Pelodiscus sinensis: one gene and its partner. The protein of the gene in region 1 binds, or shares a complex with, the protein of each later gene. Links are inferred from orthologs where the notes say so. Each region holds a gene or a part of one and is shown on either strand. Other genes may lie near its edges. The genes, in order: KIF13B and ADAP1.

Region 1 (16,185 bases):
TGTGTGGAGCCAATTGTCCTTCTCTAGCCCATGTGATTAAAGGGCAATGAAGTGCTTCCTTCTGGGGCTCTCCAGCCACTCAGGGTCTCAGCGAAACTGAGCAAGATCAGTTTGAGAAGTACATTCAGCAAGCTTGTAAGCAAGATGGGACAGTTCCTCAAAACCACATCTCCTCAGGAAAAAGGAAGGAAAACTCCCTGACAGCAGTGTTACCCTATACTGTACATGCTGTCTGTTGATTGTTAAAGATATTGTAAAGCCACCCTCTATTCTGGAGATCATGCAAACTGATTGGCATACGTTAGCAATGACTGGTTCATCTCAGAGCCTCAAGAAACAATTACACATCATTCAGAGTACTGGAAGGTGAAATTATGTGCATTTAGGTGACTATCTAACCTACCTTGAAGGTAGTCCTATATGATAGCCACATTTTAATGCTAAAAAAGGTAGCTGGAATTTAGCTTTCAAGTAGATCACATTCATATGACCTGAATTCTGGTTTATTTACAATAGGTAAATACAATGTGCTATCATGGAATGAGGAATGTAAAGGGTTAACTGGTTACCCAGTAAGCACTGCCAGCATACTTACTGGGGTAACTAGTTAACCGTAATAGGGTTAACCATAACTATACTGGGGTAACTAGTTAGCCAGTGCCTGGCCAGGACAGCTCCCCACCTGTGGCACATGATAGGTGGGGGGGCTGCTCCAGCCTGGCCAGACCCACCACACCGAGCTACACGGAAGGGGTCGATCCAGCAGCCCTCAGCCCATGACGCCACATGGCGAACCAGTTAACCGGTTAAACATATAGTTTAACCAGTTAACATTTAAAGGGGGATTTTACATCTCTAGATGGAATCCTGTTTTATTTTAGCATTTCATCTAAGTAAGAAAGAAGAGTTTAGTATTTACCTAGTTTAAGATTTTCCATACTTCCCATCAGCATGGTATCCAAACTAAAGAGGTTAGTCTTAAAGCCAAATTATTCGGAGACTGTCTTTTTATGCAGGCACTATATATATGCATTTTGCCATAGAGGCTGAATCTCCCTGATGTGGCACCCTCAGGACCTGATATGTCCCAGACCAAGGAAGGTCAATCAATGCTCAGGCCGTCTAGGGCTCCATTCTTCACAGGTTTGGTAAAGCTCCAGATTCGAGCCAAGCAGTCAATCAGCTGCCACTTGTTTCAGCGAAGGTAGACTATTACCAGGATATAGTAATCTGCTGACTACTTTTTGCAAACTATGAAGGCTGCTTAAAAATTACACTCAAATCTTAAAGCAATGGTGTTTACTCTCCCGCAGACAACCAGAAACCAGTTTTAACAGTGTTTACGCTGAAGACTATAGCTGATCACGTGTTGACCTCAAATGGATCAAGTAAACATCAAGCTCAAACATCAAGGTAATCTCATAAAAACTAGGCTTAAGAGCAGTGTTCTCTGTAAATTGAGCACTTGGGTGGACACCCAGGAGAGATTCAAATGCCACCCCGCTGATTTGCAGAGCGCCCACAGCTGGCAGCATGAGTGTCCTCTGGTGGTGCACATCTGTACGTGCTTTGGTGCACATAAAATGTATTCCACACAGTGGATGGAAAAAATTAGAGGTAACATTGCTTAAGAGCACATTTACTTTATTTAACACATTATTTTCCTTTGCAGTACACACATTTGACTCAGCTGTGACTGCTCAGAGTTAAGGCTATGATTAAGTCAGGGAGGTCACGGAAGTTATGGAATCCGTGCCATCTTGTGCCCCAGGCTGGAGCTGTCGGCAGGCAGCCCAGCAGCTCTCAGCTCCTAGCCACTACATAGCACAGGGATCTCAGAGCTCCAAGCCCTCCCATAGCAGCCCAGCCATGGTGGGCAAGGCCCATAACCCCTAGTACCTGTGGGTACTAGACCCTCCCCTTCCTCCTCATTTTGTCTGGCATATTTTAGTAAAAAAATCACAGACATGTTATAGGCTTCTGTGATTTTTTGTTTATTTCCAGAGACCTGTCTGTGATTTTTAGTGTAAATATCTGTGACAAAATATGAGCCTTACTCAGGATTACTGTTTCTCTTTCAGAGTAAATGCTAAGCACACCCAAGGTGTTACAAACATTTCTCGGTTATGCAATTGTATTTTAAGCAAGCTGAAACAACCTAGAACCACATGCTTTATCTGTGTGTCACTGCATAGTTTTCCAGAGCGAGCCACAAATGTATTATTGTTTACACTATGGGAGTTAAATATACTGTAACTATTCACTTTTAAAAGGATAATGGAGAGTAACAACTCTCAGATACATCAGTTGTTTGTCTGTAATGCCTTCCATCCAGAACAATTCAGAAACAATATATTCATAACATCGTGGAAATGCAACCACCTCTAAAGTGCATGGCAACAAAAAGTTGGTATACAGCACACTGTATAATAGTGGGAAATGTACAGCAGGGACACCAGTGTTTCCTCTGAGCTGATAGCTTGGGCCACCAAGGTGAGTTTCAAATGTCGCCCAGCAGATTAGCAGAGCGCCCAGGGTCAACAGCATACATTTGACCAGTGGTGCACATCTGCACATGCCTCTGTACATAACAAAATTTATTCTGCTCATGGATGGAAAAAGTTCTTGGGAACACAGCAGGACACTCAGGAAAATTCCTTCTTTTGAAAAGAAGGCATTAACATACAAGTTAGCACAAGAATCCTTTTTCTTACTTTCAACAAATTGGACTGGACTACTAGTACCGTAGGTAAAATGGTATTCAGCACATAGAGCCTTCTTCTTCTTCTGCAGAGAAGCTATTACTACTTATTTATTCAATGCCTAAAAGTGTAAGCACAGGTTGAACCTTTCTAGTCCAGCATCCTCCAGACCTGACTGATGCCAAACCAGAGAATTTGCCAGACCATGGAAGGTCAATATTAGCAGCGTTATCAACATTTCCACTTACTGGGTTCTTAGAAGACAATTGGGGTAAATTAGAGCTAAACAACAGCACAGAACACAGAGTCAAGTCTGGTCGCTATAAGTGAACTTTATGGGACCGCGGGAAACTTGGCCACAGCCATGATAAGAGAACATCTGACTACCTAAAATTATGCTGGACTACGGATGTCCGACCAGAGTGTGCTCGATTACAGAGTTTCAATCTGTAGCTGATTTGCATGCCAATTTATAGGGCTACAGCAGAAAGTTCCCAGCCCTGAGGAAATTTACAGGCCAAAGATAACAATAGGTGCATACATCAATAATATTTCAAAGGTTAAGTATCTACAGTCAGTCAACACAGGTTTATATTGTAAAGTCTCTTATTATGGGGTCATACGCTGTAACACACAACGGAATTCAGACTATTTCTTGTTTCACAACCAAAAACTTCTCAAGAGTCATACCAATGTTATTAAAATTAAATACAAATTACAACATGGGTTTTTAAAAATCAATCCCTTGCCTTGAGGTCTAAGTGTTACCAGAAGATGATCCCTAAACAATCAGACTTCAAGGCTGTGTACACATCCCTCAACTGCAACATTACAAGGGACAACTGTCATTTACACAAACTTGGCATTACCTCATTGTTCATTACAGAGAGTTTCAGGAGCATCAGAGATGTTGTAGTGAGATACTAATTGGGTGTGTATCTATATTTGTCCTTAATTGCCTGAGCTTTTTTAAATTATCCATTTCCTTTTGTGCACTTGTTTCTCTACCAGCTGCAGTATCTGTCCTTTTCTGATTTTAAAAAACACAGTCACATAAAAGAAAAATACACTGACTGTAATTAATATACAATATCTAGGCAAGTTTTATTTTAAAAAAATCCTCTGTCAGTTCACACTTCATGTTCCAGCTGCTTTTACCCTCATAGTCCCTGGGTTTGGGGCACTTGGGGTCACGTTCACATGCAGGGTTGGCTGAATATGTGAGTCATTTGGTGGAAGGAAAAGCTGAAGGGGGGGAGAGAATGAGAGGAGAGGAAATTGGGAAGGAAGTGAAGAGACAAGGAAGGAGCCCCATTGTAAAATGGGTGCAAGGGGCGCGGGGCGGAAGGGATTATATGGAGACAGGAAAAAGAGAGAAGGGGGAAAGATTATGAAGGGAGACTCATAAAGGAGGGAAATGTGGGGTGGTAAAAGGGAGGGAATGAATGAATCAGAGAGAATTATGAGTAACTCCTCTGTGTGGAGGCAGCTTGAGCCTACTCACTCTCCACAGCAGCAGTGTCTGTTCCTCCCTCATTTTGGTACTACCTGCTACCAGCCTCCATGGTGGAAAAGGGTGGTAAATCCCTCCCCCCCCCCACCACACAGTGAGGGGAGGGGCTCATGCCACCGTCTCTGACGCTCACCAGCCCTTCAGTGAATAGTGGGGTAGGTGGGCTTCTCTTCAACCCCAGCAAGTGGTATTTGTTGCGGGGTGTCAATCCGTGTCCCCCACTCCCACCAGCGAGAGGTGTATGTGTGGGAGGGGGACGGTGTTGATCAGCATTTCCTTTCCCGGAGGGTGGCCGGAGGAAGGTCTCCTGCTCCCCTCAAGGGGTGTCAATCAGTCACTGTCTCTCCACCTTCCATGAAAGAAGGGAGGGTACTGGGGGTGTCAGTCAGATGCTACCTCTCCCCCCTCACCAAGGGAGTTGTTTGGGAGGTATTGGGTAGTCAGTGTCTCTCTCCCCTCATCAAGGGAGGGGAGGTTGGGGGGAGGGGTGGGAGGTCTAGTCAATCACTCATTCCCCCTCCCCCGCAGAAAGGAGGGGTGGTCCAGTTGGGAAGTGTCGCTCGTCTCCACCCTGGAAAGGAGCATGGGGGCCAGTGGGGCAGTGTCTCCCCCCAGAGAGGAGCGGGGAGGGGCCAGTGGGGCAGTGTCTCCCCCCAAAGAGGAGCGGGGAGGGGCCAGTGGGGCAGTGTCTCCCCCCGGAGAAGGGCAGGGGGGGCAGTGTCTCCCCCTGAAGAAGGGCAGGGGGGGGTAGTGGGGCAGTGTCTCCCCCCAGAGAGGAGCAGTGGGGCAATCTCTCCCCCAGAGAAGGGCGGGGGGGCAGTGTCTCCCCCCAGAGACGAGCGGGGGGCAGGCAGTGGGGCAGTGTCTCCCCCCAGAGAGGGGCGGGGGGGCAGTGGGGCAGTCTCTCCCCCAGAGAGGGGTGGGGGGGCAGTGGGGCAGTCTCTCCCCCAGAGAGGGGTGGGGGGGCAGTGGGGCAGTCTCTCCCCCAGGCGCGGGGGGGGAAGGGGGCAGTGTCTCTCCCCCAGGCGCGGGGGGGTGAGGGGGGCAGTGTCTCTCCCCCAGGCGCGGGGGGGGTGAGGGGGGCAGTGTCTCCCCCAGGCGCGGGGGGGGGTGAGGGGGGGCAGTGTCTCCCCCAGGCGCGGAGGGGGGCGAGGGGGGGCAGTGTCTCTCCCCCAGGCGCGGGGGGGGTGAGGGGGGCAGTGTCTCCCCCAGGCGCGGGGGGGGGTGAGGGGGGCAGTGTCTCCCCCAGGCGCGGGGGGGGGTGAGGGGGGCAGTGTCTCCCCAGAGGTGGGGGGGGCGGGCAGTGGGGCAGTGTCTCCCCCCGGAGAGGGGTGAGGGGGGGCAGTGTCTCCCCCAGGCGCGGGGGGGGGGTGAGGGGGGCAGTGTCTCCCCCAGGCGCGGGGGGGGGGTGAGGGGGGCAGTGTCTCCCCCAGGCGCGGGGGGGGTGAGGGGGGCAGTGTCTCCCCAGAGGCGGGGGGGGGCGGGGGGGGCAGTGTCTCCCCCCGGAGAGGGGCGGGGGGGGCAGTGTCTCTCCCCCAGGCGCGGGGGGGGGGGGCGGGGGGGCAGTGTCTCCCCGGGGGGGCGGGGCCGCACTCACCTCTCCTGTTCATGGGGCGGACCCGCACCGCCACCTTCACTTTGGAGTCCCCCATCCCGCCCGCCGGCCCGCTCGGCTTCCGTCCTCCGCCGCGGGCACGGGACACCCCGCCGGCAGGCCAGGGGGCGGGGCCGGCCACGCGGAGGGCGGAGCTCCGGGACGCCCTGCCTGAGGGACCGCCCCGCGGGACTCCCCTCCCCAGCACGCCACGCGGGGGCCGCGCGGGGCATGCTGGGAGACGTAGTCCCGGCCTGTGGCGCGTGGCATGTCGGGACATGTAGTTCCCTTGGGATGCAGGCGGGGATGCCCGTCCAGTGGCGGGGAGCACGTGGAGGCGGCCCAGCTGTGAGCTAGGGCAGCGTTTCTCAGCCAGGGGGCCAGTAGCCTTAGGGGTACCCGAGAGAAGTCTGGGGGGGGGGGAGAAAACTCCATTTTTGTTTTACGTTTTACCGCCTTTTATTATTTTTGTACGTTTTACCCCCAAAAATGTCATCGCCCGCCTGGCTACGATGAAGTTGTTTAAACAAACATGTTGCAATGGTAGAAAAAAAATTCGTGTGTCTGAAAACTATCCCTACTGGGGGTACTTATATTTTTTTAAAAAAAATGTATAAAAATGTATTAAAAAAAAGTTGAGCTACACTGAGCGAGGGTGATACAACAGGTAGGAGAAGGTCCCTTAGCGGGAGCAGGACTGAAGGAATTGGGGCACCAGGACCCCTCTTCCGTTCCCCATCTATAATGCGGAGAATGAAAGTCACCCTTCTTCATGGTCAATGGATAATACACCCTCTCCCCGAGTTACGAACGAGTTACGGACCAAACACTTGGCCGTAACTCAAAGTGGTGTTTGTAACTCGGACCTCATTGAGTTACATGGCGACCGCACTGTTCGTAAGCGCGGATAACGTTCGTAACTCAGGGACTGCATTTACGACCAGCTGTATCAGTGCCTGGTTCTGGGGGAAGCGCAGGTCTGAGGCCTCAGAACAAAACCCCTTTCTGAATTAAACGCAGATGTCTTCCGCCTATCTTTCCCTCAATTCGCTTTTCCCACACATGCAACACTCCCACTTCCATCAAGCAATAAACAATAAACCCTCTAAATTATTCAAGCTCTTTTGCCTACAGGCTATGATGGGGGGAAAAAGGCAGGGATAGACGTTTTTGTATTTCTTCTTAGACAGAAAAAGCCTTATTAGCACATACTTAAATAGACAGTGTTCTGTTCCAGGCTCTGGAAAACACAGAGCATCTAGGCTGGGGCCCTGGTGTCCAACACTCTAGCCACTAGCCACGTGTGGCTATTTGGCCATGTGAGTGTGATTAGTTGATGTGAACAATGTGGCTATTTTGCTGGTTGAGTGTGGCTAGTTTGCCATAGTAGTAGCCACTATAGTGGCTACTACTTCAGAACTGGTTGGACACCAGGGGTTTAGGGGTTCTCAAACTGGGTGTTAGAAGGGTACACCTCAGATGGTCACGGGGTTATTACGTGGGGAGGTCGCAAGCTGTCAACTTCCCCCCCAAACCTTATTTTGCCTCCAGCATTTATAATGGTGTTAAATAAAAAATGTGTTTTAATTCATTAGGGGGCATCTCACTCAGAGGTCAGAACTGCTGAATACTTTCCCCAGCACTAGAAGGGGAAGGTGGTGTGGTGTGTTGACACTATACACCTGCTTTCAGACTAATCACTTTCCCTCTGTTTATTTTGCTGAATAATGATGGTAACCACATCAAACTAGAAATCCACAGCTGCAGTATGTGGCTACCTTGTCATCCACCTCAAATCACCCTTCCCTATTCCTCTTTGTTGTAATGCCTAAAAACATGGCAATGGTTAGGCAGTTGCTCCTCAGAAACCACTGCCTCTTATGCTAACCACTGTTGTCTTGCTGTTTACTTGTACTCCCACGTATGTCTATATCCTTCTGTCATCTCATGTTTTACACGAGATTGTAAGCTCTTTAAAGCAAGGGCTGTCGTTTTGGTACAGGGACTAGCACCAGTCCCAGTTCATGAATAGAGTGTCTACTCACTATGAAAATGCAAATGATGATGATTATAACAATTAATATAACAATTTACATTTTAATCACTGTATTCCAATGCTTTATCACCTCATCTTCACTCCCTCCCAGCACCAGGAAACGTGCACGTTATAAAGTGCTTCCTATATGCTCTTTTTTACTAGTCCTACTTGTTTAGAAAAATTCTCCATTTGGGTACCAGCAAGGTACCAGTGAATCTTTCAGGGAGACTGGTAAAGTTTGAGTTTTCCATGCTGGGCACAGGACACCAGCCTTGGTAGGGGTGGGGTGGGTGGCAGTGACATCACAAAGGCCTGTCTCAGCGCCTCCACCATTTGGGGAAAGGTGATGGGGAGGTGGTGACCTCACCCGGAGACCCTGACATCAGCCAGGCAGGACAGAGGGGCAAGGTGGGGGCAACCTCAGAGACACCCCCTTATGGCTTTGTGATTGGCCCTCCCAGAGAGGTGAGATTGGAATTGCTCTGAGATTGCTCCCCTCTGGCGGTGACCTGGGCCATCCTTTGGGACGTCTGCTAAGAACGCCCCCTCCCACCTTCCATTGCCCAGAGTCTCAATGCTGATTGGCCGAGTGTTATGCATCAGCCCCAGGGAAAGGGGGGAGAAGGGGGGGCTTCCCCCTTCCTTACCGGTTTGACGCCGGACACGCTAGGCTTTCTAATCAAAGGCTTTTAATCCGGCTATGCTTGCCGCGCTATGCCTATCCCGCACAACGCGACCGTGGCCCCAATGACCACCCTTTTGGGAAAGGGTGAGAGGGAGGGGGTCCGGGCCCGCCCCCACTCCGGACCCCGACCCAGGGCCCTAAAGCCAGGACGCTCATCCTAGCTAGTAACGGGGGGGGTTTGCAAACCCTAAACTCCCCTGCTCTCGGGTTCCGCGGCCCCGCCCTGGGTCACTTCTCCCTCTTTCCCAAGTCCCTCATCCGTCCTCGCTGGCCCCCGGGGTTTTACCTCACCCAGGGGCGCAGTATCCAGTCCCCCCTGGCCCTTCGGGGGTCTTCCGATCTCCCTGCTCGCCTCCCTCTCCCTGGAAGGGTGGCCGGGGTTTTAAATCTCCCGCCCGAAGCAGGGAGATGACGTCTCCCCCCACGTCCTCTGTGCGCGCCGCCTGGCCCCGTCGCGGGGGTGGCGTCAGACCCCGCGCAGGGCTGGACGGACGCCGCTTCCCTGGGCGGCGCCTGCCGGCCGTCCCGAACCGTGCCTCTCGGCGATCGGGGCGAGCCCGTGTTGCGGCCGGCTCCGGGAGTGGCGGGGCGGCCTCGCCACACCGAGCAGGGAGCTATTGGCAGGGAGACGTTTTCTCGGGTTCCCAGCTGTGACCCACGGCTGCCCTTCCTTTGCAGGCTCCGCTCAAGGGCGTGTCAGACCCCAGGCAGGGACCCTGCGGGCAGAGTCCCCAGACACAGACAGGCTCCAATACAGCTTGGAGGTGAGCATGGTCCGGAGGGGTGGGGGCAGTTTTACCTCAGCACTGGGGGGAACTGGAAAGGGGAAACTGGAACGCCTTGTCCCAGCCTGTCCTCCTAGCCTGAGCCCCAGTGGGCCAGCCTTGGTCAGGGCAGAGCTATGCGGGTCCCTTCCTCCTCCAACCCCTCCCACATCCAACCCCTGGTGAGATCCAGGAATCAGATATTCCACCCGCAGCCCCATTGCTCAGCCCTGCGGATGGGGATGGGGCTCGCTGGCATGGCCTGGACATGGGTCCATTGATCCTAACCTGCCCTTCCCCCACAGCACGTCAACTCCTGTGCCAGGCCCAGAGTGTCCCAGGTGAGAGCCAAGGCTGTAAGGAGCCGCAGAGCCCGGTTCTAATTCACCATCCCCCTCCCTGGATTGTACGTAGGTGACCTCTTACTCCGGCCCCCTAACCCCAGGTGTAGGCAGGTGGCTCCGACAGGCTGTAGGACCTGCAGCTGCAGGGACCGTGGGGTGGGCGCATTCCCCCTGATTCCTGGGGGCACCCAAGGCTCTGACGGATCCTTCTTCTCTTGAAACAGGAGGACGTCACAGCCAAGGGGATGCGCCAGTTCCGCTCCATCCCACCCTCTCACCAGGTGCCTGTTGAGGTGTAGAGCCCCCCACGGGGCCAGAAGGGTTAGAAAGCAGGCCTAGGACACTGGGGTCCTGCCCCACCGCCAGGGTTCCCTGTAAGCCGGGTGCTTGTGTGGCCCCTCAGGAGAGTCCAACGCTGCCTGGCTGATTAGCAGAATACCAACAGCAAGGTTTAGTTCCAACTGGTGGTGCACATTCACACCTACCTCGGTGCAGAGAGAAATTATTCCACACATGGATATAAAAACTATTCACGTGGATGGAAAGGATGAGAGGAAACATTGCCCACTTCCCTGCTCCAGCTGGAAGAGGTGTTTCAAAGGGACCCTGCATGTGGGGTATAGTCCCACAGGCCAGCTCAGAACCCAAAGGGTTAAGCCAGGCACCGCGGGCCACAGCTGATTGATGGGTGACAGCAGCGGGGAGGATCAAAGGGCTGGGAAGTAGCCTGGCTAAAGAGGACTGAGGAGGCAGGAGGAAGGATCTCCGGTCAGCAGCCTGAGAAGAGCCATCCCGGGACACCTCGGCAGCAAGGGGCGAAGAGGCCAACAGACCAAGCCCGTGACAGGTGAGAGCACCGAGCGGATTTCCAGATCCCCGGGCAGGAGGAGCAGGCTGATCCCTGGCCACTGAACTGAGCGAGCTGGAGCCACGTCCTCCCGCTCAGGTGCCCAGGGGCTGCAACTTTGCCCTGACCCACCAGCCAGCTCGGAGCGGGAGAGACCAGAGAGCGACCAGAGAGTGAGGCTGGGCCTGAGGAGATGCAGAGGAAGATAGACTCATAGACTTTAAGGTCAGAAGGGACCATTATGATCATCTAGTCTGACCCCCTGCACAGTGCAGGCCACAGAATCTCACCCACCCCTCCCAGAACAATCCTCTCACCTCTATCTCAGATATTGAAGCCTTGAAATACTTTGAAGGCCCCAGGATGCAGAGAATCCTCCAGCTGTGATCGGCACCCCATGCTACAGAGAAAGGCGAAAAACCTCCAGGGCCTCTGCCAATCTACCCTGGAGGAAAATTCCTTCCCGACCCCAAATATGGCGATCAGCTAAACCCTGAGCATGTGGGCAAGACTCACCAGCCAGACACCCAGAAAGTTCTCTATAATAACTCCTATCATCCCTCCTGGCTGCAGGAGAGCCCCCAGCAGCCTTTGCCCACAGCCCCTTTGCTCTACCAGCTGGAGCATCGTGGGGACAGGCCTGTGGCCCTGTGCCCAGGAGAGGGGAGGGCCCCAGCCATCACACTAACCACCCACTTCATAGGGGGGCCCAGACCCATTTGTCCTCTGTTGGGGAGGCATGGTACACCCTGAGCCCTTCCCAGGAACCAGAGGGGAGATGCAGATCGTTCATTTTGTGGGGACCCTGGACTGCACAGTGTGGTACGCTGTGGGAATCTGGAATTCAACTGGTGAACCAGCCAGAAGGCAAAGGCCTCACTGAGCCTGGCTGATCCCAGACCTCCTCTTACCCGCATTGGCACTGCTCTGGGGGGAGCATCGGTAACCACAACCAGGCAGATTTGAACCTGGGTCCTCTGCAGCGGAGTATAGGAGCCGCTACCCTCTGAGCTAAAAGCCAGCTGGCTCCCAGCCGATGCTGTAGCTGTCTCTTGGTCTTCACTGTTGCTGTGGGCTAGATTCCACGTGCATTGCTCAGAAATCACACTAGGGCTATGTCTACACTGGCGCGATCTTGCTCCAGAGCTATGCAAATGAGGCTAAGCGTGGAATATCACCGAGCCTCATTTGGATATATAATGAGCCACCATTTTTGCGGAAGAGGCTCTTGCGCCAGAAGGAGCTGTCTACACGGCCCCTTCTTGTGCAAGAAAAACCCGCTTGCTCAATGCCCTTATTCCTGAAAATAATCAGCGTAGCTCAGAAGTCAGTGCCAGCGCCAGCAGCAGCACAGAATGGAGGCCGGAATGGGATCGTGTTGCCACCTTTCCTTCTGTGCTGCTGCCTTCTGAGCTGGGTGGCCACAGAGCCATGCCCTCTGGTGAGGTGCCCAGCTCAGATGGCAGCACTGCTGCCAGTAGCAGTGCAGAAGGAAGGGGGTTTAGCATGGTCTTACCACCCTTCCTTCTGTGCCGCTGGTGGTGGCATCTCTGCCTTCCAAGCTGGGCAGCCAGAGATACCGGGAGCCCAGCTGTGAAGTTAGTACCAGCAGCAGCAGCGCAGACGGAAGTGTAACATGCTATGGTGTTGCCACCTTGCCTTCTGCACCGCTGCTGGCTGGGGCACTGCTTGCCAGGCAGGGTGACTGACAGCAGCTGCCACTCCAGCCACCCAGCTCTGAATGCCAGAAGAAGTCATGGACATGGTGTCCTATTTCCAAAGTCCGTCTGGATGGAGATCTGAGGACTGAAGAAGAGATCATGGCCAGGAAAATCCAAACTCCGTGAACGACCTTCCTGCACTTGTCTTGACACTCCCTTTTGGGCTGGGACCCCCAGTGTGAGAAACGCTGCCCTAAGGGATTCCTTTATGACCCCGAGGGCCGACATGGCCAGGAAAACCCAGGTGCACAGCATGTGTCAAACCTCAGCATCCCTGGCGTTAAGTGGCCTGGTACTTGTTTGTACAGACTTGTGTATAAAGAAACTGTTACTTACCTAGGAATAAAATGTGTCCACATTCCGCTTGTATCAGCCAGATTTTATCCAAACTTCTGCTAACTCTGTAGTCGCCTGCGGGTTGCTGCCTCCTCAATTTCCTAACACAGCGAAAATTAATCTTAGCCTCATCGGTGCAAAATTCTTCATCCTGGGGGCACCGCCAACCTCAGGCGTAGCAGCATCAGGAGCCCAGTCAAAAAATCATGAGACTGGCTTAAAAACAATGAGATGAAAGAGAAAACTAAATAAACAAACACATGATCTATTTTGCGACTTTTTTTGTGCCTTTGCTTTCTGAGCTGGGAGGACATGCTCAGATCATGTGTTCAGCCTTTTCTCCGCAAACCTGAGGACTTGAAACACTTTTTACGTGAAAGCCGAGAGTTCAGCTACACTCCAAAGTCTATGCTGACATAGCTGTGCCATCACAGCCCCCTAGCTTAGATACAGACCACACTCAGTTTATGTCTACACTGCAGGCTTTTGCTGGCAGAAGGTATGCTAATGAAGTGCTCATTAGCATTTGTTATGCTGTCATTTGCATAACTCTGCCTATGCTTTTTGCACAAAAACAAGCAGTGTAGGTAGGTCCATTTTGCACAAAAAACCCTTTTTGTGCAAGATCTGTATACCTCCTTTTTGAGGCCTAAGGGATCTTGTGCAAAAGGTTTTTTTTTTTGCACAAAACGGACCCATCTACACCGCTTGTTTTTGAGCAAAAAGCATCGGCAGAGATATGCAAATGACAGTGCGACAAATGCTAATGAGTGCTTCATTAGCATACTCTCTGCCGGCAAAAGCCTGCAGAGTAGATATAGCCTCAGAGGAGTTTTTCTGTTGGCAAAACAACACCACTTGCCCCAACAGAGCCTTCTGTAAAAACTTAACTCCCAATTTTTACAAAATTGAACTAGTGTGTCCCCACTATGGGGAAGCCTCGAAATCAGTCTGGGCAAGCTCCGTTAATGTGGACATGCTACCTTGACTTAGAGCCCCAGGAAGCACTGGAGAGTAATTATTTCGAATTACTCTGGGATAGGGATGTAAGCGACTAGCTGACTAGTCGACTACCTGATAAGCAAATACTTATCGGGTAGTCGAGTAGGAACTCCACCCCCTTGCTGCCAGTATCAGAGAGAGGCAGCAAGGGGGGAGTAGGAGCTGGTGCTGGGAGAGCCGTCTTCCAAGCCGGTTCCTTTGGTATATATGGTCATGCCAATTCTCTTCCAGAATATGATCTGAAGAAGTGAGTCTGGCCCACGAAAGCTCATCACCTATTAAACCATCTTGTTAGTCTTTAAAGTGCTACATAGTTTTTCCTTTTGTTTAGGAGGAGTTCTTGAGCAGACAGACAGACATGCACAAATGCACAAACAAATTCTCTCAGATAACTGGCTAGATTGAAACACTAAATCCAAACACCCCTACATTTAGACAGTGGGTGGATTGATAGTCAGACCTGGGAGTGTCCTAGCAACAGGGATGTTATCTTCATTGGTAAAGTTACAGGATTTACTAAGGAAGTTGGGTTTAATAGTGGCCAATAGCAAACTCTGCATCTACAGACAAGAGCGACACCTGGTGGCTCAGGGACAAAGGTGAATTCAAGTCCCATTGAATTAAACCCTTTAATTTTATTAGCTTCTTTTAAGGAAAGAGAAACATCTCCCCCAAACCGCAGGGTAGCGGGGCAAATCTCCTCTGGTTTCAGGCACATGCTGTTACAACAGCAACAGAACACCCATCGGTAGCAAAGTTACCAGCTGCTAGAGGGCAAGAAAGGTGACTCCCATTTGAGTCCTGCCTGCTCTCGTTTGCTTCTTGGTGCCATGGAAAGGGTTACTGCTCTCTTGGTAGGTGTAGGCCAAAGTGACGGCTCCCTCAGGCTAGGTCTACATCCCTTATTCCTCAAAAAATGAGGTTTACAGGCTCTTGCACAAAAGGGTTGTTTTTCCCCCGACAAATGGCCTTGTCTACACGGGACATTTTAACGCAAAAAAACTTATTCTGCAGAAAGGATCAGAAAAGGATATGCAAATGGGAGCGTGATATATGCAAATGAGCACTCCATTTGCATATCTTCTGCAGAAAAAAACTCATAGGCTGCGTCTAGACTGGCATGATTTTCCGTAAGTGCTTTTAACGGAAAAGTTTTTCTGTTAAAAGCATTTGCGGAAAAGCGTCTATGCCAATCTAGATGCGCTTTTGCACAAGAAAGCCCCGATCGCCATTTTTGCCATCGGGGCTATTTGTAGCTGTCTACACTGGCCCTCTTGTGCAAAAGAAGTTGCGCAAGAGAGCTTTTTCCCGAGCGGTAGAGTCATTGTATTTGCGCAATGATCATATATTAGATCGTCAGTGTTCTTTCACAACTTCAAGTGGCCAGTGTAGACAGCTGGCAAGTTTTTCCTCAAAAGCGGCTGCTTTTGTGGAAAAACTTGCCAGTCTAGACACAGCCATAGTGTAGATTGGCAGGGAATGTGCACAAAAATAATAGAGAGGGGAAATGCTTTTCGGTCAGGGGGAATTTGCCTCCCTTCCTTGCAACATAAACAGCATCTTTCTGCCAGTGGCACTGGAACTATTTTTTGGGTGGGGGTGCTGAGCTGTGCCCCCCCCCTTTCTCCCTCCCCGTTTGTGCCCCTCACTGCTCCAGCTTGGGGTCAACCTAGAGTTACCCCAAGTCGCTTGGACTGGCCGAATGGCATCTAGTCTGGTAGAGTTGGACCCCAAGGGGCAGTGGAGTCTGCAGTGACGGCAGCCTGGATCCTGGGGCCAGCAGGCTGCAGATTCTGCAAGGAATGACGGGTGGCAGGACCAAAGCCCATGGAATCAGCAGGACCCTGGAGGGGCCACTGGGAGGCTGGAACCCAGGGCTGGCAGGAGCAGCAGTGGGTGGGCAGCAGGGCTGGCCCCTAAGCACGGGGAAGCTGGGGGCAAAACCTAGAGGTGCTACAGCATCTCCTACATCCCTACTTCCCACGCCTACGCTTTCTGCTGGCTCCACGGAGCTCTTCCTCGCTTCCCTATGAAAGTGTAGAGAGCAAAGAAATCAAAGCCACAGGGGAGAAAGAGCGGCTCCAGCTAGGCCACACATGGAGGTGAGGCAGGTAAATTCCATGCCTGCCCAAAGTTTGCAGTTTTGGGGGGCAACTCCCCTCCCGTCCCCCAAACTACACCCATGATCCTAGCCAGTAGGCACAGCCACTTTTCAGGGTCCTCCAGCCTGAGCCCAAACATTCTGACTATTGTTACACAGACCGTCAAGCCCAACCCTGCGAGCCCAAGTCAGCTGGGTTTTCAATCCCCGTGTAGACATTCCCAATGTGGGGGCTTGGGTCTAAATGCTGGATCTAAAAGGGACTATATTATTACAAAGCAATTTCAAAAACCAGCGGGAGAGAGACGCTGCAGAACTTGATTTAATGTACAAGTTCGACACCAGGAAACAAGATCTGAACAAAGACCTGAACTGGATGAGACGCCACATTCCACACCCTAGTGAGATCAAAAGCCAAGCACCGGGTACTTCTCTGTTAGCCTCATTTAGCACGGACACTCTAATTCAATGTTTCTCAACCTTTTTTTATAAAGTACCCCTTTTAAAAATATAAAAAAACAGGTACCTACAGTTTTCA
Region 2 (15,956 bases), on another chromosome or scaffold:
TCTTAACTCCTCTTCACCACTGCCCACCTCTTTCAATGCCTTCCTTCTCCCAAAACAAGGGGAAAAGGGGTTCTTCCACTTCTTTATCTTTTCCTCCAACCACCAACTTTATGTCATGTGTTTATAGCCTTAAATGGCCCTGCCTAACAGGAGCAACATTTTAAGTACAGGAAGATGCCCCAGTTCCTGGATAGGTGGAAACTACAGTTATACTAGCCCCCAACTCTAAGCTCTCTCCTTAACCCTTGGACTTTCTGAGTGGCCTAGTGCAGCAAGATACTAAATACCCTCAACTCCAGAAAGCTTAGCACCTTATAGGGTCAGGTCCTATAACAACATGGTCCTGACCTTGCTATCCTTCATTTCTGGCCTCACTGCTCATCTTCCTTCCCACAAACACGCATCCTGTTAGATGAAATTCATATAGATCTAAGTGGAAGTTACGCATTTGTGCATTTTTTTCAATAGTTCCCATGCATGGCAGCATACAGACAACCCCAGTCAAGTGGGAAAGATAAGAGCACATTACAGAAAATTAATGATGAATGGGATAGATCCAATAAACAGGACGAGGTCTGAGCCTCAGCACTACTGAAGTGACATTTGCACTTCTGCCTGCATGGCTAAGTTTCTTCCTCCCCAAATCAAAGTAAAAAGATTTTGAACCAGTAGAAAGGTAACCCTAAACTGAGTCATAAGAACATAAGAACGGCCGTACTGGGTCAGACCAAAGGTCCATCTAGCCCAGTATCCTGTCTACCGACAGTGGCCAGCACCAGGTGCCCCAGAGAGGGTGGACCAAAGACAACGATCAAGCGATTTGTCTCCTGCCATCCCTCTCCAGCCTCTGACAAACAGAGGCCAAGGACAGTTAGAATGGAATATGAAGAGACCCCTCCCGTGGAGACAAAATTGATATCTGCATCTGCAAAAATGGTTCGCAGTTATCCGCATTCACAGATGCAGATACCTGCAAACAGAAAGAGGATGTCCACTGACTGGCAGAGCACAAGTGAAGAGACACACACAAAGCCTTGTTGTGCCCCCAGACAACCATCCATCTCACAATGTGCAAAAATATTTCTTAAGACAAATAATGGTTTAAAACCAATTGCATTGCCATATTAGTCTTAAAGAAAAAGAACATGCTAGAAGACTGCAGCAAAGGAAGTTTAGGTAGGACAATAGGAAAAAGTTCCTAACTGTCAGGGTCGTCAAACACTGGAATAAATTGCCCAGGGAGGTTGTGGAATCTCCATCTCTGGAGATATTTAAGAGTAGGTTAGATAAATATCAGCGGGGTAGCCGTGTTAGTCTGAATCTGCAAAAGCGGCTAAGAGTCCTGTGGCACCTTATAGACTAACAGAAGTGTTGGAGCATAAGCTTTCATGGGCAAAGTTCCACTTAGTCAGATGCATGTCTATCAGGAATGGTCTAGACAGTATTTGGTCCTGCCATGAGGGCAGGGGACTGGACTCGATGACCTCTCGAGGTCCCTTCCAGTCCTAGTATTCTATGAGTCTACGGTAAGACATTGCTTGAACAGCAGCCATTAGGAGAGATTATTCACTGTGCCATCAGACCTGTATAATCCGTGCTGCCTTCCCTGATGACAAACACCTTGTTCCAGTGAAATAGACTTGTTGCAACCTGGCTTCCACCCAATGAGAGATGCAATCCAACAAAGAGTCCTGCAGTGTGTGAGATTCAGGGCCCTGCGTTCCAAGTACAGGCAGTCCCCGGGTTACGTACAAGATAGGGACTGTAGGTTTGTTCTTAAGTTGAATCTGTATGTAAGTCGGAACTGGCGTCCAGATTCAGCCGCTGCTGAAACTGACCAGCGGCTGACTACAGGAAGCCAGAGGCAGAGTTGCTCTGCCCCGGGCTTCCTGGAATCAGCCTCTGATCAGTTTCAACAGGCTGAATCTGGACGCCAGTTCCGACTTACATACAGATTCAACTTAAGAACCCCAGGCGTCCCCAAGTCAGCTGCTGCTGAAACTGATCAGCGGCTGATTCCAGGAAGCCCGGGGCAGAGCAACTCTGCCTCGGGCTTCCTGTAGTCAGCGCTGGTCAGTTTCAGCAGCGGCTGACTTGGGGACACCTGGGGCAGAGCAGCTGGGGTGCTGCTGGGTTGCTCCAGTAGCGCCGCTCCTCGGCGCTACTGGACCAACCCACCAGCACCCCAGCTTCTCTGCCCCAGGCGTCCTGATTCAGCCGCTGCTGAAACTGACCAGCAGCGGCTGAATCAGGACGCCTGGGGCAGAGCAGCTGGGGTGCTGCCGGGTTGGTCCAGTAGCACCCAGAGCGGCGCTGCGGGACCAACCGGCAGCGCCCCAGCTGCTCTACCACAGGTGTCCGGAGAAAAGCCTGGTCTGTTGGGGGGGGGATGTGGGCGTACTAGCTGCGCCTTCCCCCCCTCCCCAGCAGACCAGGGAGACGCGGGCAGCGGGCGGCGGACCAAGATGCACCACGGTCCCGCCACCCGGGTCCTCCGAGGCTTTGCTCCGCATCTCCCTGGTCTGCTGGAGACCAGCAGGGAGACGGGGAGCAAAGGGAGACGGGGAGCAAAGCCGCGGAGCACGCGGGCAGCGGACAGCCCAGACGCGCCACGGCTGTCCCGCTGCCAGCGTCCTCAGAGGCTTTGCTCCCCATCTCCCTGGTCTGCTGGTCTCCAGCAGACCAGGGAGACGGGCAGCAAACCCCGTTCGTAACTGGGGATCCGACATAAGTCGGATCCGCGTAACTCAGGGACTGCCTGTACATTTTATTACAATGGTTTGTGCATTGTAATTCAGCCTCAAAGACTTGGATAATGTGCTCTTATTGTTCACTACAGCAGGTTGGAATTCTTGGACAGAAAGCACTTAGTCAAAATGTCTCTTTCTGGAAAAAAAACTTCTACAAAAAAAATTAGATTTTTACTAAAACCTTTTTTTAAAAAAAAAATATGCTCTTCAAAAACTGCAAGAGAAAAAATAGTTTTCTCTTTTGTTTTCCTGTCTTTGGGTTTTGATCTCTAATGTGCCATAAGGCTTGGAAGGGGCAGTTAATTTAAGCAGTCAGAGAAAGCGGCTGGAGGGGCAGGGATAAGGGGAGAAATGGGAAGTGCAGCCTGGGAAGAAAGGTACTTATTTCAAATTAGTTTTGTTTGCTCATGTACTATTCTGTGGGCTGATTTTTTCACTGCACTGTTAGGTTACGTTTACACTACAAAGTTTTTGCACAAAAACTCACAGAGTGTTCACACCTCAAGCGCATTTTTGCACAAGAAAATTTACAGAGAATTGACAGAAAAGAGTGGTTTTTGTGGTATAGGTATTCCTCTTTCTACGAGGAATAAGTCCTTTTTGCGCAAGAGTTTTTGCGCGAAAAGGTGGGGGGGATGGGCAGCAGGGGGGTTTTGCTCAAAAACAGCCTATCAAAACAAGCACAGGTGCCCTGGTGGCCATTCTGTTAATGACAATCAGAGCTTTCTTGCGAGAGAGTTTCCATGCAGTCTGGACACTCTCTTGCGCAAAAGCGCATTGCTTTTCCGAAAAGCTTCTTGCACAAGAAGCCTGCAGTGTAGATATAGCCTCAAGTTGTACAACTTAGTCAGGAGGAGAGGTTAGATTGCAAACTCTTCGGCAGGAGGCATCTCTTTGTTCAGCGTTTGTAAAGCACCTAGCACCAGGAGGGTTCTGGGATGCTACTGCAACACAAAATCAACGATAAGGGAGAGTTTTTTCACAAAATGGCAAAAATGTAACATTCAAAAAATCACCAATTTCTTTAAAAAAAAGATTCTGAGGAAAATTTCAGAAAGTGAAGAGTCAGCCACTTTCTGCACAAATGGAATGAAAATCATTTGAAAACAGTAGCTATTTTGTTTTGTTTTTCCAAACAGCTCTATTATTTACCCCATTGTAAGAATCCCTTAGCTAAATAACTGCATCTTGTTGCTGATTCTCATTGGCTCATGAATTATCCCTTGTATTTTAGTGAGAGAAACATACACTCCATACTGCAGAACACCAGCCTTCAGTTTCTCCAAATCCCCGATTGCACTGGACTGGCAGAGGGATGCCTAGTGTCTCTGTCCCCATGCACCATCTGCCAATTGGCACCAGTCTTCCAGTCTTGTTTGTTTTCTCACCTCTTTTCTCCCATTCTCATCCTGTCTTCTTTCTTTTTTTCCTTCCCTATTTCTGTTTTGTTGTTGTGTTCTCTCTCCCCCACCTCTCTCACTAAAAGGAAAGTAAAATACAGGACTATGTAGCACTTTAAAGACTAACAAGATGGTTTATTAGATGATGAGCTTTCGTGGGCCAGACCCACTTCCTCAGATCAAATAGTGGAAGAAAATAGTCACAACCATATATACCAAAGGATAAAAGGAAAGTAATTCTCCACTGAAGACTCCCTAGGACTAGGCCAGTAGTTTTCAGCCTGTTTTTTCATTTGCAGACCTCTACATTTTAAATTGAGATGCAGCCCCCTTTGGAAATCTTAAGACATGGGTCAGGACCACAGGTGGAAAACCTGTGGTCTGCATGTAGCTTCATTCCTGAACTAAGTGGGACACAGGATGAGAAGGGAAGGTTAGGCTGACATGCGTGTCCCTGCAGCCTGTAAAGAGGAGAAACTGTCATGACTGGAGCTACTGGGAAATACACCAATTGCTATTTAACCGGATGTAGCATAGGGCAGTGAAAGTCAAGGGTCACGTAGCTGCTCTTTGCCTTGCCCTAGATTGGAAAACTTAATCCTACTTTCCCCTACACCAAAGCAAATAACCAGATTTAGTCCACTGATTTTATATGTAACACATATGCACACTGTGTGACTGTGTCTTGTCTTTAATTGTCCTAAGTAACCCATAGCATGCACAGGCATACTGGTTTGCAGTTACTGAACCGCAGTCAGCGGCATATACTACAGTGCAGTTACCGTGCATATCTAGTCTAGAGCTGGGCATAATTGGTTAAAAAAATTGGAGCAGAATGGTCAAGAAAGAAATGGAGCTTTAGCACTGGGGAACAATGCAGGAGAAAACAGAGCAGTTAGACCATGCAGAAAAGGAGATGAACTACAGTAATAGTTTCTCTTGCATCACAAGACACTGACCCAAATTTTGCTCGCTTACAAGGCGCAGGCCCACCGAACACATCTCTATACCCAGATGTGATCAACTGCAGACCTTGGCTTCCTAGCTTTAAAACCTGCATTTGGAGTCCTTAACAATCTAACCACAACACAAACGATTTTGCTGAGCCAAAGTTTCATTTTAATCATGCTGATGCCGGGTAGGTGCTCCCTGTTTTATTGGGTGGGCTTCGTATTACACATGCTGTAAGAGGTGTTCTATTGATCTGAACAGCCCTGGACTGTAAATGCTCCTTCTGGGGGGGAAAAACAGTTTAGGAAGATTCCAACTGCAGTCAGATCCAAGCTGTGTGCAGCCAAGTACTGAAAAGGTGGGTTAATAAGATTATATAGTAAGAGATGGCAGTAACTAGGTGGAGTTCGACCAGCCAGAAAAGCAACGCACACTGGGTAGTAGTGCATTCTTAGGCATCACTAACCAGGTACAAGGTGACTGAAAATATCCTTGGCAGATCCCAGTTTATCTTCAATATAGATTAGGGACACAAACCCTCAACTAATGATCCTTCCCAGCTGGTAGAGTCCTATTGACATCAAAGTGCCATAGAAAGGTAATAATATTCTGCAGAAGTCCTAAAACCTATAGAATGTAATTCTTAAGATGGCCCTTCTGCAGGTTTGATATTTTAAAGCCAACCTACCAAATACTGCAAGAGGGATATTATTTGCTATCTCTCCCTCCCGGGAAGGTTATTTTCTATTAAACTGTACAGGGCTTTCCCCGGAGGGATCTGAGCAGACACTTACAGACACAGACCTGAGCTTCCCTGCTCTCAGTGGGCATTCAAATTGCTCAGTCCCCAGTGACTTCTCTATTCAAAGGACAAGGAAGGGTGTGTGTCTGGCTCAGAAACTCCCGCCACCCCAACCACCCAGCAAGGAGCACCCCTGATTATTTCATGATCGGTAGTTATGCCTCAGGAAGACAGGGGCAAAGTCTCCAGCAAAGGCCTGCCGGTGGCCAAAGGTTGGCTGGCAGGAAGTGGCACAGCAAGGCGCCGGGTGCGCCAGGTCTGTTGATTTACCGAGAAGGGAACCTTGGCTGCCAAGCAGGGGTGGCGACAAAAGCCACACACAGTTTGCAGGGCGAGCACAAGGACAGGAGCAGGGAGGGGCAGGCAGAGCAGCCAGGCCGACAAGGGCCAGCTCGCCCGGCCCTAGGCCTGCAGACCTCGCCCCTGCCACCTGTCCTCCGCCCCGCCTGCCCACCCTTGCAAATTAACAAGGTGTCATTGTCATCTGGGCGCAGGGCTCGCTCTGCACTGCAGCTCGCGCACACAGCCCGGCTGGAGCGGCCGGGGATGACATCAGCATTCCCAAGTCAGCCCTAGAGCGCTGGGGCAGCGAGGTACCCCCGTGCGAAGGAGCGGGGCACCCTCTCTTTCCTGGCCCCCGAGCACGGCGCGGCCGGCCAGCTGCCGGATCGGGGACACGCCCCTCGCCTGCGGCCACGCTTGAATCGCCCCGCTCCTTGGAAGTGCCGCCGGGGGTACCCCCGCGCTGAGCACCGGGGAGACCTTCCTCCTGCCCCGGGGCTGGGAACCCCCGTGCCCACGCGGCCGGTTTCCTCTTTCTCCAGAGCCCGCAGTTTTGCAACAGCCCGGCTAGGGCTTGCAGGCTGGGGCAGAGCTCGCCGCAGCCAAGCGCCCAGCAAGCGGGGCTCTCCTGGCCGAGGCAAACTTGGACCGGACTCCACCCTGCCCGGGCAGCTAGCGGAAAGGAGCAGGTGCCGCCCTGGACCCCAGGGCGGCGCCTGCCCAGAGATTCCGGTGCCCGGCTGCATGCTCCGTCCCTGCCCCGCTCACTCCGGCGCTGGCTCCAGTCCTGCAGCGCTGCGACCCCCCGGCTCCGAGCCCCAGCCCTTACCGGGGGCAGAGCAGTCCGCGCACAGCTGGTTGCCCGGTCTCTGGAGCAGCTCCTGCAAAGCCTTCTTGGGCTTCTCCTTCGCCATGGGGCCGGTGCGAGTGAGACGGGCTCGGCTCTGGCTTCTCTTCTCCTCCTCCGCTAGATGCGCTTCATGGGGCTGGGGGCGCTGGAGAGGCTACCTCGCCGCCGGGGGCTGCTTCATCTGGCCCCGGCTCCGCTGGGTAAGTAGGACCCCTGGGCAGCCGCCGGGCGCTTAGGGCTCCTTCTCCCGCATCCTCCTCACTGGGCTCTGAGCAGCCTCCTGCCCCGGCAGCCGCCGCCGCCGCAGCTGATTGCGCGGGGCTGGTTCCGCATTCCTCCCGCGGCAGCGGGGAAGGTTCTGCCTTGCACCGGAGCCCGAGCGTGGCCCACTCCCGGCCAGCCTTGTCCGCCCGCGACCTCCAGTGGCGAGCCCGCCCTCCTGCAGGCGAGCACCACGGAGCCCCCTGGCTGCGCGAGTGGCGCGGAGGGGCGGGGAACACTCAACGAGACACTCTGTCACCTTGCTCCCACCTTTTGCCCCCGAGCCTGCGGAGAGGAGTAGCCCGCTTCCCGGAGACCTCTGCTGACTGAGGCTTAAGCCCCTTAAACACAAATCAGCCTTAAAAAAAATGCAATGGCGCTTTCCCTGCACAGGTCTCAAAGCACTTTGCCAATCTAGCCAAGGTGCTTACCTGGTTCTCAACATCCCAGCACCTGCCAATCTTTACCTATTTACCCCACAACGCCCTTGTGAGGTAGAGAAAAGTTATAATCCCTCCTGTACTGGTGGGGTACATCTGTCATAGGCTATGTTTAGACTGCAAGCCTCTTTCGAAAGAGAGCATCTAGACAGCACGCGGAACTTTCGAAAAAGCAAGCTGCTTTTTCGAAAGAAAGCAGCGAGTCTGGATGCTTTCTTTCTAAAAAGCCCTGTTTGCTTTCAAGAATGCCTTTTTTCGAAAGAGCACTTTCGAAAAAAGGCGTTCTTCGTCGTGGAATTAGGTTTACCGCCGTCGAAAGAAAAGCCGCGTTCTTTCGATTTAATTTCAAAAGAACACGGCTGCAGTCTAGACGCAGGTGAAGTTTTTTCGAAAAAAGGCTACTTTTTTCGAAAAAAACCCTGAGTCTGGACACAGCCATACAGAGGAAGATCGAAGCTGCCTGTCGATCTTACAGGGTTCCAATTAGTGGTCTAGTTAACACAGCTAATTTGAAGCAAGAGGGGCATTCCAGGTTGATGCCATAACCCTGCTTTCACAAGGAATAAGGGAAGTCAAAGGAAAAGTGTTCTCTCTTCTACTTCCTGCAGTGTAGACAGCACCAAAAACCTAGTTAAGCTGCTTCCACTTCAGCTATGCAATTAATGTAGCTAAAGTTGCTCTCTGTAGTGTACACATACTTGTGGAGAAAAAGGTCTAAGTCAGCGGTCACCAACCAGTAGATCAGGGTCTACTGGTAGATCTTGGAACCTTTGACAGGTGATCCTGAGAGGTTTGGCCCAAAGCCTATCAAGTGCTGGCACTTCATCTGCCCCTCAGTGCCCTGCTGCTCCTGCCCTCTGCCTTGGAGGTGCCCCTCACCCCTGGGAACCTTCTGTTTGCTGTGCAGGGCACAGGAAGAAGAGGAAGGGGGAGTGCTGATGTCAGGGTGCCCCTCCCTCCACCCTGTACCTCATCTCCACAGAGCAGAGGGGAGGCAGAGATGGAGAGTTTGGTGGAATCTCCATCACTAGAGGTTTTTAAGTCTCAGCTTGACAAAGCCCTGGCTGGGATGATTTAGTTGGGATTGGTCCTGCTTTGGGCAGGGGGCTGGACTCAATGACCTCTTGAGGTCTCTTCCAGCCCTATGATTCTATAAGAGTTTGCTGGCTGCTTTTGGGAGTGGTGCAGGGACAAGGTGGGGATGAGCCTGCCTTGGTCCCCTGCACTACCACCCTGAAGCCACCTGTGGTAAGCGGTGCCCAGCTGGAGCCTGCATTCTGAACCCTGGCCCCAGTCCTGAACTCCTCCTGCCCCCCAAACTCCTGCCCCCAGCCTGATAGAGTGAGGATGGGAGAGGGAGGATGGAGTGAGCAGGGGCAGGATGGAGGTTGGTCAAGGGTGTTTGGGTTTGAGGTAGATCCTGGATTGCACGTAAATTCAATAAGTGATCTCATGCTTAAAAAGGTTGGAGACCACTGGCCTAAATGATTTACCAAAGGTCACTTAGGAAGCCTGTGGAATAGTGATGGGCAATCTGTGGCCCAAGGCCCACATGTGGTCCATCAGGGTTCTATGTGTAGCCCATGTGCAGGGTTTCCAAATTCCACTAGTTTCTGTCTGCATAGTTTTTTTCCTATCAGTATTACTAAAGTGACATACATGTGAAAAGCAAGGGCATGTGAAGTGAGGTGCATACTGATCACACACAACACTGATTGTAAGAGGTACAGTATATGTTCCCTCTGCATCCAATCAAAGTGTTGCTACAGTTCAATCCACACACCCTGCAAATTCTAGGTACACAAGCACAGTTAGCAAAACTACCCTATCCTGGGAGACTGTTTTGGTTATGACAAGCCTACGTTGCCCATCACAGCTGTGGAGAAACCCAGGTCTCCCACTTCTTATGTGAACATGCTAAATACTGGCTCATCCTTCCTTTTCAACTGTTAATCAGTTGCTCCTAGATCATATATAGCCTAGAAATGACTGTGCCAAAGTAATTTTTGATTCCTAGCATTTCAGTTTGGTTATGGAACCCTTTTTGGTTTTGTGATGTGGATCCATTTGTTCATACTCCATCCCCTAAAAAAATAAAAAAATCAAAGCTTTCACCCTGGAAAAGCTTACTTATCTGTTTGACTTTATGATGAGGAGTCCTATTGACTTGACTTCCACCTAAAGTAAAGCATGTATGTTTGTAAACAAGTATGTTTTCAGAATCAGGACTCAAATAACCCAATAGAAAATCACCACTAAATCCAAATTATGACCATGATGCTTCAATCACTTAATCACATGTTTAAAACTTCACTCCTGTAAGTAGCACCTTTGATTTCAATGGGACTCCTCCTTAATTTGGAAAATATTTTCTTTAATTTCTTGCCATTTTGACTGATAAGTTTAACTGCATTAATGTCTGAAAATTGACATCATGAGCCAACCCTCTGTATTACAACTTGCTTTTTCCATCTAGTTTTGAAAAAAAACAGCTATCATGCTAACCAAAAATCCAATCTTGCAGCTCTCATTCCTGTTAAGTAGTGCAGATAAAATCAATAGTAGGATTATCTACAGAATCAGGCTTCCTGCTTGTAGGTCAGTCTGTCACCCCCTTAACACTGAGCCTTTGTGTCGGTTTTTAAACTTTTTTCTAGTTACAGACTAACTTAGCTACCCCCCTGAACCTTTTTTTCCTAGTTATGCTGGTATAAATCTGGAATAAACCCACTGTCTTCAGTGGAGTTAATCTGGATTTATGCAAGCATAAATGACAACAGAACTGTCCTGAGACAGATTCTTAGCCCCATCCCTGCAAATACTCACATCTGTGAATAGTTCCATTAAAGTCAATACTCAGATTACTCATATGTGTGTTTACAGGCTGAAGGCATTATGCAAATCCACATCCAGTTGCCGGGTTTTCATCCATTCTTTTATTTTGATGTAGACCAATCCCTTGGCCATTCTTGCCCCCAAAAGCATCCATTGCACACAATGAACTCTTCATGCTGCAGCTGAGATATTGCAAGTCATTACCAGAGGAGAAACAACAACAAAAAAGATTTTGTTTTAAAGTCCCTGTTTAGCTTTCCATCGAGGCTTATTGATTCTCTTAATTTTTTGTTCTTCTGGTTGCTAGGCAATTCCTCTCTATACGCTGTGTGCCAGGGCTGCGGAAAGAAATTTATATCTTGTAATAAAATCAAATATAACAGGGACTGTAGGAGATGATCAGAACAAGCTCTCACATAAAGGAAAGAGGGGATGAAGGGTGTGGAAGACTGATAAGGCTGAGAGCAATTGTCATTATTTAAATCTAATAATAACATAATTGTTAGTGCAGAGCCTACCACAATGCAAGAAACCCTTTGTAGTAAAAACCCCACTGCAAAGTTTAAATGAGGAGAACAAAAAGTGCATGTGAGGAGAGAGGACAAGGGCCCAGCATAAGAAGAGGATGCAGGAGATGGGCTGAAGTCATATGGGACTCAAAGCAGTCTTAGTAAAAATGCTTTGGAAATAAAGGGTCCTGATCCTTTTTCACTTATACCAATTCTACACTAGCATAACTCCATGGCCTCAGTCCTGATTTGTGCTGTCTTAATGCCATAGATTTCAGCAGAGTTATGTACTCCTCATTTATGCCAGATGCAGAACCTTAGTCAATCAGAATAGCTTCGTAAACGTCAACAATGCTATGCTGATTGACAGCAGCCAAGGATCTGGCCCTTTTGTGCCATGGCTTTCGGAGGAGCTACTCCTGCCGCACAGAATGTGACAGCACGAACAGCAGATGTGGGGAGGAGTGATCTATGGTGGGTGCTGGGAGGAGCAAGTTCCATAGAGCAAGGTCCCTCACGGCAAAGACAGTCATCTACTGGCCTGAGTCACAATGACCTTTACAGATAAGGAGCGATCTAAATGCACATGCAAGAGAAGGCCCTGCTATCCTGCTGCCTGTGGTTTTGAGCCAAAGATGTTTAAGATGAGTGAGAGCCTTTCCAATGACTTCAACAAGTGTAAGATCAGCCCAGAGAGCAGGGATGACTGGTGCTTGTAGGGAGAGGTGTTACAACCAAATGGGGAGGTAGCATCTGGGGGCACCCTATTTTGCAATTAAAATTTTAGCAGGGGCATAGAGGGGCAGTGCACCTCCTAGGTGTTACCATGAGTCACTTGTGCCAGAGAGCGTACCAGCTTGGGAAATCTGCTCATGAAGTCACCTGCAAATTTCTCACAGGCTTCAGGGCAATGCTGCTCTCACACTGATGGTATTTCTGTCTTTGTGTTGCCAGTCTGTGTTTTTAGTCAGACCGTTCTTTTAAATGAATAATGCCCCTCATTTTTTCAGGAAGAATGGCTCTTGTGCAAGAGAGGGGTTTTGCGCAAAAAGGAGCAGTCCACACAGCTCCTTTTTGCACAAAAACCTCTTGAGCAAAAAAAGGCCCCTAATTAATTATGCAAATGGAGTGCAGCAATATGCTAATCCATGCTTCATTTGCATAGGCTTTTGAGCAAGAGAGGTGCAGTGTAGCCTGAGAAATTCTGTAAGTAGCATAGGAATTTTTGGCTGACACTGAAAATACCGGACCAAAACGACCAAAAAAGCCATCTTTTCCTCCCCAGCATCAGCTATTTCTTCTCAGGGATTTCAGCTGCTTTCTTTTTATTATGGAGGAGTCAGCTTGCACTGTTAAACAGTTACAGCTGTGTCAACATTTTCCATGATGAAAGTCTATTTTCAGGCATTACTGGACATAAAAATCTCTTCATAGCTGCCCCGGTGAGAGCCAAGAGCAGTTGTTTTACAAAATAAAAATCCATCGGTCTGTTATTGAGAATTATTTAGAACATGTGTAAAGTGGGGAATCTAAGAGGATTAGCTGAAACAAAGAGAATAAATTAGCAATAATAACTGGAAAAGACAGAGAGAATCTCCAAGGCCCCGATCCTACACTGACTAAATCAACACCATGGCTGTGTCTACATTGGTGTGATCTTGCGCAAAAGTGGATGCTTTTGCGCAAAAACTTACTGCCTGTCTATACTGGCCACGAGTTCTTGCGCAAGTACACTGACGTTCTAATGTATGAAATCAGTGCTTCTTGTGCAAGAACTCTGACGCTTCCACTCAGGAAGAAGCCCTCTTGCGCAACTGTTTTTGCGCAAGAGGCCAGTGTAAACAGGCAACATGAATTTCTTGTGCAAGAAAGCCTTATGGTTAAAATGGCCATCAGAGCTTTCTTGCGCAAGAGAGCATCTACACTGACACAGATGCTCTTGTGCAAAAGCACGTCTCTTGCGTAAAGGCATATACCAGTGTAGACGCTCTCTTCTGGAAGAGTTTTTGCACAAGAACTCATCCGCAAAAGAGTTCTTGCGCGAGATCATGCCAATGTAGACTATGATTATGCAAGTAGAAAGTTATTATACTCAAAGCTGGTATGTGATTCTAAAGAGTATTCACTCCATTACACAAGTAAACAGTTTGCATGTATAGCAAACCCAAACTGAAATATCCATAATTCAGGCAGAGAGTAATTAGATAGAAGGAAAAGTGTCTGGAATTTTGTGCCCTCTGGAAAGGACATTGTTAGCTTCCTGATGAGCAGAAGACAGGCATTCCTCCCCACAGCAGTTTTCCTTATCAGCCAATGGATAAAAGCAGTTCCTCCCACTGATCCTAACTGAATCAATAGGGGTGCATCTACACTGAAGGGCTTAACTCGAAATAAGCTACACAAATTGAGCTATATCAATTGCATATCTTATTTTGAAATAGCATATTTCGCAATAGGGAGCATCTACACAGCACTTATTTTAAAATAGAGCACTCTTCCACCGACTTCCCTTACTCCTCACACAATGAGGGTTACAGGAGTCAGAGTAAGAAGTCCTCCAGCTTGATAATATTTTGACACTATTTCAAAATAATTGCCTGCTGTGTAGACATGGACTAAGTTATTTCGGAATAGTGCTAGTTATTTCAAAATAGTGTTGTAGTGTAGACATACCCTAGCAGATTCTACAGACTTCTCTTCTGATCCCATTAAAGAATACCAAAAAACCCTAAACCAACTGCTCCAGAAGCTCCTTGCTACAACTCAGGACCAAATCTACACAAACCTCCTCCTCCCCCCCAAATCCCCAACCAGGAGTTTTTTATCTGCTACCCAAGATACCCAAACCTGGAAATCCCGGATGACCCATCATCTCAAGTATTGGCACATTTACAGAAGGGTAATCTGGTTATATTGACTCTCTCCTCAGACCCTATGCTGCAAGCACACGTAGGTTCCTTCAAGACACCACCAACTTCATGAGGACTGAAAACACCATCGTGGCCATCATGGACATAGAAGCTCTTTACACCAACATTCCACACAAAGATGGATTTACTGGCTGTCCGGAACACTATCCCTGCTAACGCCACTGCACACCTGGTTACAGAGCTCTGTGACTTTGTCCTCACCCACAACTATTTCCAGTTTGGAGACAATTTATATCTTTAAGTCAGCAGCACAGCTATGAGTACTTGCATGGCCCCGCAAAATGCCAATATCTTTATGGCTGACTTGGAACAATGTTTTCTCAGCTCTCGCCCCCTAACAGCCTTATTCTACTTATGCTACACTGATGACATTTCATCATATGGACCCATGGGAAGGAGACCCTTGAAGAATTTCACAGGAATTTCAACAACTTCCACCCCACCATCAACCTTAGCCTGGAGCAGTCCACACGAGAGATCCACTTCCTTGACATTATAGTACAATTATATGATGGCCACATTGCCACCATCTTATACCAGAAACCTTCCAACTGTTACACTTACCTTCGTGCCTCCAGCTTCTATCCAAGACACATTTTCCAATCAATTGTTTACAGTCAGGCCCTAAGATACAACTGGATTTGCTCCAATCCCACAGACAGAGATAAGCACCTTCAGGATTTATAGAAAGCATTCTTAAAACTGAAATACCCATCCGGAGAAGTGAAAAAATGGATTGACAGAGCCAGACAAGTACCCAGATGTCAGCTACTTCAAGATAGGCCCAACAAAGAAAACAATAGGACACCACTTGTTATCACCTACAGCCCCCAACTTAAACCCCCAGCACATTATCAACAATCCACAGCCTATCCGGGAAAATAACCCCTCACTCTCACAGAGCTTGGGGTACAGGCCAATCCTTGCCTAGAGACTACCTCCTAACCTAAAGAAGAATCTAATAACCACGCAGCACGCCTCCATTGTACTTATCCAGGAACCCACCCCGGTACCAACTTTATACACACATCAATACAGGCGACATCATCACAGGACCTAACCACTTAAACCACTACATATAACTGTACATACACCAATGTGATCTATGCCATCAAGTGTCCCTCTGCCATATATACTGGCCAAACTGGACAGTCTGTACGAGAAAGAATTAATGGACACAAATCAGATATCTGAAAAGGCAACACACAGATCCTGTTGGGGAACATTTTAACTTGCCTCGGCACTCATTAATGGATCTCAGAGCCACTGTATTATTTCAAATCAATTTCAAAAGCCAGCTCCACAGGGAAACTACAGAACTGAATTTCATTTATAAGTTTGATTCCTGCAACAGAAGTCTAAACAAAGACATTGGCTGAATGGCCCACTACATTCCACTTCCTAATGACATACAAAACAAACAAAGGGTACTTAAAGTGGGTACTAAGTATTCTTATCAGCTTCATTTAGCATGGACACTCTAATTGACAATTTCTTTCCCCTTTTTTCTTCCTCTTCCCCCCATTTCCTCTCTGTACTATTTATTTGAAAACTGGACCAACCCCTTAGACTCCATTTATCCGATGAAGTGGGTTGTGCCCACAAACGCTCATCTACATTTTTTGTTAGTCTCGAAGGTGCTGCAAGACTATCTGTTGTTGTTTTTTTCCAGTTATAGACTAACACAGCTACCCCTCCAAAACTTGTGAATCAAAAACTTGTGGTATCCCTGTTAAACATATAAAACCTCAGGAGGTTCTCTTTTTAAGATGTGCTTGTTTCTTGAATTATTAAATTCCATCCGTAGACAAAGGGTGAATATAAAAACATAACTATGGCCATACTGGGTCAGACCAAAGGTCCATCTTGCCCAGTATCCTGTCTTCTGACAGTGGCCAATGCCAGATGTCTCAGAGGGCGTGAACAGAACAGGTAATCATAGAACT

The links.
Region 2: the proteins of KIF13B (region 1) and ADAP1 are in contact, whole or in part, in a crystal structure (PDB 3MDB), measured with the Homo sapiens proteins. The link is inferred for Pelodiscus sinensis from reciprocal best matches to the Homo sapiens genes KIF13B and ADAP1. Residues at the interface, in NP_056069.2 of Homo sapiens: Val451, Asn452, Leu453, Asn454, Ala455, Asp456, Pro457, Leu463, Arg512, Phe514, Asn516, Gly517, Arg531, Leu533, Asn536, Asn537, Phe539; in NP_006860.2 of Homo sapiens: Trp137, Asn143, Gly144, Gln145, Phe146, Leu147, Pro186, Ala187, Lys188, Ile189, Gly190, His191, Pro192, His193, Tyr211, Glu213.

The regions. Positions count from the first base shown.
Region 1 is NC_134713.1:4,379,198-4,395,382, reverse strand, and holds the start of KIF13B (kinesin-like protein KIF13B), read right to left. Parts: upstream 5,968-16,185; 5' UTR 5,868-5,967; coding exon 5,813-5,867; intron 1-5,812. UniProt on the Homo sapiens protein: Involved in reorganization of the cortical cytoskeleton. Regulates axon formation by promoting the formation of extra axons. May be functionally important for the intracellular trafficking of MAGUKs and associated protein complexes.
Region 2 is NC_134726.1:26,491,169-26,507,124, forward strand, and holds the start of ADAP1 (arf-GAP with dual PH domain-containing protein 1), read right to left. Parts: upstream 7,472-15,956; 5' UTR 7,100-7,471; coding exon 7,015-7,099; intron 1-7,014. UniProt on the Homo sapiens protein: GTPase-activating protein for the ADP ribosylation factor family. Binds phosphatidylinositol 3,4,5-trisphosphate (PtdInsP3) and inositol 1,3,4,5-tetrakisphosphate (InsP4). Regulates the incorporation of CD63 and CD9 into multivesicular bodies.